Regions from separate parts of the Mus musculus genome. Here region 2 is reported to be linked to region 1. Evidence: microRNA targets listed by miRTarBase, many of them from high-throughput screens and not tested one by one. Region 1 holds a microRNA gene; the other region holds the end of a gene's coding sequence.
The links. Region 1 holds the annotated microRNA mmu-miR-140-5p (CAGUGGUUUUACCCUAUGGUAG, at 2,229-2,250, shown strand). A microRNA usually pairs through its seed, bases 2 to 8, with sites in the 3' UTR of a target mRNA and lowers its output. Matches are read on the target gene's strand: a 7mer-m8 pairs with bases 2 to 8, a 7mer-A1 pairs with bases 2 to 7 and ends in A, and an 8mer does both.

Region 2: miRTarBase lists Zfand1 as a target of mmu-miR-140-5p. Seed matches in the 3' UTR shown: 8mer at 2,698-2,705.

The regions. Positions count from the first base shown.
Region 1 is chr8:107,549,021-107,552,423 of GRCm38, forward strand. Mir140 (microRNA 140) reads left to right here and starts at 2,224; the gene lies at 2,224-2,293. It overlaps Wwp2 (WW domain containing E3 ubiquitin protein ligase 2), which reads left to right. Exons shown (of 24, transcript NM_025830.4): 13 at 9-137; 14 at 440-515; 15 at 761-832; 16 at 1,027-1,115; 17 at 3,257-3,403.
Region 2 is chr3:10,337,990-10,341,392 of GRCm38, forward strand. Zfand1 (zinc finger, AN1-type domain 1) reads right to left here. Exons shown (of 8, transcript NM_025512.3): 7 at 3,005-3,160; 8 at 1,967-2,916. The coding sequence ends at 2,746. Among named protein-coding and RNA genes, the nearest start is that of Slc10a5, 4.0 kb to the left of the region's middle.

The sequences.
Region 1 (3,403 bases):
GTTTTCAGGATGATACAGGAGCCAGCCCTGCCCCCAGGGTGGGAGATGAAATACACCAGCGAGGGCGTGCGGTACTTTGTGGACCACAATACCCGCACCACTACCTTTAAGGATCCTCGCCCAGGGTTCGAGTCAGGGTAAGGACCTTTACAACCACAGCCTTGTCCCCTAGTGCAGCCCCAGTCGTCCTGTTAGGCTACCCGGGGAAGAGGGATCTATATGTGTGTGTGTGTTCTAACCACTGCCCTCTAGTAACTGACTGTAGGGCACTGTTCCCACGTCTTTGAGTCTCAGTGTCAGTCCCTTCCTGTGTCTTGCTCTAATCTACTCCTCTTTAAATTCATGGAGCAGAGCATCCACTTTCCCTAGGGCTCTCAGAAATGGGCTGTTTATTTTCTAAGAAATCAATCGGTCCCTACATATCCTTTGCTCTCGCCAGGACAAAGCAAGGCTCACCTGGTGCCTATGACCGAAGTTTTCGGTGGAAGTATCACCAGTTCCGTTTCCTCTGCCACGTGAGTTCTGGTTTGGCGGCTTCTGTGGGAGTAGGGCTGGTAATTGCTGTCGGGTTGGTCTCCCGACCCACTGTTTTGGGGGGTGCCTTAGGTAGGAGCAAGATGCTTGCCCCACTCTGAGATGTTTGTCTTGAAGGAGTAGGCTTCTAACCCTGGGGGGTGGGGCTGTGTCATCGCAGATGGAAGAGCCCTTGGAGTGGGCACCCTTGGGAAGCCCCAGTTAAGAATTTTCCTTTTCTTTTCAGTCAAATGCTCTACCCAGCCATGTGAAGATCAGCGTTTCCAGGCAGACACTCTTTGAGGATTCTTTCCAACAGGTTAGAGAATATTCCTGATGCCAGGATCCTAGGCAAGCAGGCTTCCTCCCATCACCCAAAATCCTGTCTCATGGCATAAGCGTTGGTGACCATATCTGTTAGACAGTAAGCCTTAGATAGAGTCCCCTGCCCCCACATCCCTGCCTTCTGTGCTGGGGTCAGGGGCAGGATGGCCGGATGCCCTGTCTCCCCAGATTATGAACATGAAACCTTACGACCTGCGCCGCCGGCTCTACATCATCATGCGTGGTGAGGAGGGCCTGGACTACGGCGGCATCGCCAGGTGAGCCAGGGTGCCCAAAGCGCTGTACTCTAACCCATGTCCCCTGGCTTCAGGGCCCACGTTGAGAAAGCTCTCTCCTCGATGCTATTCTTTCCCTGAGTTCTCCTGTATCAACAGGAAGGGCACTGGCGTGGCACTCACAGGAATCTCTTGGGCTGTGGGTGTAGCTCAGTTAAGACAGGATGCTTTTTTACCCTGCAGGCCCTGGGTTTGTTCTCCAGCACCACATAAACCAGGCACAGGAGCTCACACCTGTAGCTGTAGCACTTGAGAAACAGAAGCAGAAGGATAGGAGTTCAGGGTTGTCCTTGGCTACGTGGTGAGTTTGATGCCATCACGAGTCTCAGGAGACCCTGTTCCCAAAACGAAGAAGAAAATCCCTTCATAAATTTCTCTGGCTAATATCAGTAAGCTACAAATCAGGTCCAGGCCTCAGCCCTTTCCATTATTAGATTATGGGGATGCAAGAGACTTCTTGGGGAGGGGGCATGGTGTGTGGTTCTATGCCAGCCTACATGCCATTTTTCTATAGTTAAAAACAACTTGGCGTTGTATCAATGGGCAGAGGCTAGCTTGTAAGGTCTGCAAGTGTCCCGTAAAATCAGCCCCTGGCTTTCCTTCTATGTGATGCAGCCAGAGCAGGTTAAGTCAGATTTCTCAGAGCACATCTGGTATGTCTAAGCATTGCCACTCCTGCTGCATGTCCTGTGTACCAGTCAATAACATTAAAACAGTTGGTATAAACCCTAAAAGAACCCAGAGCACTGTGTTACCTTCACCCTACAAAAGTTAACAGGCTCTTTGGAAAAGCATTGCCGTGGACAACAGGCAGAGAGTCCTAGCAGTGGGAAGGGGCTTCTTGGCTGTGGTGACCTCTCATCCTGCTGACCTTGTGGTGTGGGGCTGTCATCTGACTTAGTTGGGCTCCCCGCCTCTGACCCTGCTTGCTGGTGGTGTAGTCTTCTGTGTTGACCCTGCTTGCTGGTGGTGTAGTCTTCTGTGTTCATCCCATCCTGCAGATGAGTTGTTCTGTTTTCGGTGTGACCTCTCCAGGCTGTGCTTGGTGGGCATCTGGTGTGGCTCCCGCCCTGTGTGTCTCTCTCTGTGTCCTGCCAGTGGTTTTACCCTATGGTAGGTTACGTCATGCTGTTCTACCACAGGGTAGAACCACGGACAGGGTACTGGAGCACCCTCTGCATCGAAGGACTCCATCTACACAGCCACAAAGCCCAGCAGCCAGGGGCTGGCCCCCCTTGACTACGATTCCCCGATTGTTCCCCAATTGTTTAGCTCAAGCTCTGAAGGACCCTGAATTCTGGCTTGAGGCTTATATGTAGGGTGCAGATAGATGCTAAGGCGTCTATTGGGTGGGTGTTGGTTGAGATAAATGGATCCAAATCTGGGTTAGGGTATGCTAATGGGTTCTAGGGTGAAGGGAGGGAAACCTACAAGTGAGGTACCTATGGGGTACCCTGAAGGGATGAGGTGTCTAGAGGCCAAATGAGTCACAGAACTTTCAAGGTTCAGCTTTTGGGAAAATGCTACTGTGTATTCTTTACATTGCACTGCATACCAAATGGGGTGGAGCGGGGCGCTTACTGTCATAGAGCAGAAATGTTGTTGTAGTACATTTATTTATCTATTTATTTATTTATTTGGGGGCATAGGTGTTTAGGGGTTCTCATGGATCGTATACCATGTGTGGCGGTCAGAGGACAACTCCCAGGATTCAGTTCTCATCGTATGCCAAGTGGGTTCTAGGGATTACACTTGGTTGTCAGGCTTGGAAGCAAGAGCCTTTACCTGCCGAGCCTCCGTGCCAGCACAGCCCACAGTGCTTTAAAATGTTACCTTTGTATATGGTGCACAGCCCGCACAGTGAGGCATGGTGGCCCTGGGGGTGAGGAGCCGCTTTGCCATCCAGTGCTCTAGATATTGTAGCATAACTGTGCCCAGGGGGCTGAGAGGCACACACACGGGCTTTCCTGAGCACAAACTTCAGGTGCTGTCCTCTTCACCCAAGACCTGGGATGAGCTGGCTCACTGATCCCCCCAGGCACGTGCATTCAGGTGCTCTGACCCAGCAGAACCCCAGCTGCTGTGCAGAGGGTCCCATTGTCCTGTCCTCTCTTCCCTCACAGAGAGTGGTTTTTCCTCCTGTCCCATGAGGTGCTCAACCCTATGTACTGTTTGTTTGAATATGCTGGGAAGAACAATTACTGCCTGCAGATCAACCCGGCCTCTTCCATCAACCCTGACCACCTCACCTACTTCCGCTTTATCGGCAG
Region 2 (3,403 bases), not on the chromosome of region 1:
TGTCCTCTGACTACACACACATGTTGTGGTGTGTGTCCCCACACACCAAAACTAAATCTAACTTAAAAAATAAAGTGTATGCTTTTCCCCCCAAGCACTTTATCTAGTGTTTTTGTTTTTTCTTTCAGTTTTTGTTTCCTAACCCATCTTCTGAAGACTTCAGAACAAAAAACCTGATGAATGTAGATAAGACGAATCCTATTATCCAGTTTTCTCATGCATTTTCTGTTCTTTAGACTGGTGATCGTTAGTATCAAAGCATTGTTTCAACGGTTCACCCACACTCCTCTCCTATGCTGCATGGCTTCCCTTGCAGCACGTGAACACCAAGTAAGATAGGGACACTGTAAGCCTACCATTTCATTAGGCAACTTAATGTGAACCTGAGATTTCTGCCCTTCAGAGTGTTTATTTGGACATAGGGAGGTAGGGGACTGAGATTCCACCCACACCTTGTTCTCTTTAGATTATTAACCTGCCAATGCTTAGTGCCAAGGATGCTCGCTCATCCTGACGTCCTCCAGCCCCGTGGGCTCCATCCCTAGGACGGGCCTAGCTTATGGACTGTGTACTCACTGTCGTAGGTTCCTCTCTGGATAGACTTGTCTCTCATCTGCTCACTGGGAAAAGACATTTTTCATCCTTTCTAGGTGTCAATTCCAGTCAGCCTCGGTTGTGAGTAGCCCTGGCGCTATTTGAAATCTGATGTTAATTTAACTAATCTAAGAGGGGCTGTCTGGAGGAGTGAATCACGTATCCAGGACTTCATGTGACCTTTCTAATCACTGGGTGAGTAGGCGGGACTTCTGGGTAAGAGGCAGAAGAGAGATAGGGGCTTTTGATCAGGGAGAGTGGGAGGCAAGATGCAGCTACAAGTGACCCCTGGAGGATTTAGAATTAATACGGCTAACAAGATTAGGATGCTAGTTGTTGCGCCCAGTGATTGAGTTAGCATTGATTCTGAACTAAGTTTGTGTGGTGTTTTCCTTCACAAGGTGGCTCAACTGGGTTCCAGAGAGAAAGATATGGCAGCAAAGTGTGGCTTTGCGAGAAGTGCACCCCAAAAAGGCTATGGGAATTTTCAAGTGTGGGGCTGGCGTGGTATTAACCCACCAGTGGGAACTTAGCAAGCTGGATGGAGAGATTTCGGAGCTCTGAGGCAGAGTCTCCACGAGATGAGAACAGGCCAGCCATGCCTGCCTGTGCCAGGCCTGCCAGCCCTCCAGGGCCTGCTGGTGTAGTGTGAATTGAATTTTTTAATACTTCCTGAAACAAGCCTCGCCTGCCATCTTCTCAGTAGGTATTATTTTTCTGGCATATTCAATTTTCATTCAATTAGAGGTGCTGGCCACCTACTAGGTCCAAAATGGAGATTAAAGTACTGCTTGGTATTAAAACTTCTGGTATCTCAAAAAAAAAAAAAAAGAAAAAAAGAAAGAAAGAAAGTAAGTTCCAGGACAGCCAGGGCTTTACAGAGAAATTGTGTCTCGAAAAATTAAAAAAAAAAAAAAAAAAAAAAGGTGATTTCTAACTCTAGTTTGATAGTTTCCAATAAAACAGCTCTTGTAACATGGCTATACTGCCTATTCACTTATCTGCAACTTGCCTTACAACTCTGTCTGCTAGTTCCAAGTTTATCTTCTGCCTAAGTGTGGCTTCTTGTGCCCACATTGGCAATCAGACACTTTTGTTTTAAGTAGGCACACAGGTAACTATAAAGGAATGAATTTAGAGTCTGATAAAAGCAAGAAATTATCACTGTTTATGGTCTGAACATGAAAAGATGGAGCTGACAAAGACCAAATGAGCATGCTCAGCTTACTCTTTAATTAACCTACTGCTCCCTCCCACAGTGTATGTAGGCCTTCATCTAGTGTGGACAGAAGACACTCATTCTCCTCAGGTGTAGACAGAAGGCATTCCCCAAGAGGACTTATTTCAACTTATAGATCAAATGCAATAATTGTCTCGCTTTGTTACAGGAAGCATAGACTGTAACAAAATCAGTTTATTCGAGTGAAGTTCTCATTTGTAATACATTCACACACACAAAAAGTTGAATCCTACTAGAGAAAACTCCTTACCAGAAACATATCCAGTGCAATTACATGATACCAAAAAAATTACGTTCCCTTCTTAGGTATGTGGTGTCTTATCACACACCTTATCCTGGAAGACTGAATGAGAGGATCTGCAAGAGTCTGCAATTCATGCGTCATGATTTAGGTATCCAGTAAGGCTATGTATTCTGGACATAATATGAGGTTTAATCATAGGACTTCCTTTAAATAATATTGGTAAGTACCACTTGTACGACCCCTCCAAAGAGTCTGCCATCTGCAGCTTCCTCTGCCGTAGAATGGCAAAATCACAAAAAGGTGGGTGTTGTGTGAGCGGGATCTCGGAGGGAAGGCAGTACAGGCTGTGACACAGCAGCCAGTCAATGGCTGCCATTAGTCTACCAGGAAAGACACTTTTGCTGATATTTCTACAGCCTAACCCAGAAACAGCTAATAAAATACTTCGCCAGTAATTGTCAACACATAATTAAACACCAACATGGAACCTAGTAGAAAACTACTGGTGTAAATTAGGACCTAATGGAAATAAATTCTAAGACAGCAACTTTGAGAGTTTTAAAAAAGTATCTGTAGTAAAACAAACAAAACAAACACAACAAAGCTGACTGTCTACTGATAGTGGTTTCTGCTTATAAGGATTCTGCTGGCTTGAATCCTTGAATGACTATTCCAAGTAAGAGTCAACATTTTTTAAAAACTGTTCTTCATCGTTAAGATATTCCAAGATAACATTTCCTCCATTATATAAAGGGCACTCCTCCTTCGTGATCCACCTTTCCAATGTGTGATCCAATGGCAGGGCTTCTCCTGAAGGGACATGACACAGCCTCAGCTTCTGGTGAGAGAGAGAGAAGGCGCACAGGGTGAGGCCCACTTGCAGACATATCCCAACACTTGAAGGAAAAGGGGTCACCGGACATTACCTTCGCTGTCAGCTTGTTGTTTTCATTCCTGAGATTAGCGAGAGAAGCTGCAAAGTCCACAACCTTCCCGATGCTCCACCGCAGGCAAAAGAACATGGCTTTGCTTTTTTCCTTGCTCCCCTTTGGCAAGTAGACCTGGAAGTATGTTCTTTCTGTCTGTGTAATTAAAAGTTACCATACAGATCAGACACACGCGAGAGGAGGCATTCCTTATTCAGCTAGCGGTTCCTTAACTCTTCTTTTGTCAACACAGAATAGCCTATGACGTCAGTTCTGGTCAGAAGAACCCATCATGTAGCCTACCTACCTAACTGCACGTCCCAAAGACTCAAAACCCTAGCCAGGTTATCTGCATAACCAAGTTGTACGGCCTTTTTATGTCCAGGGACTGGGTGCAGA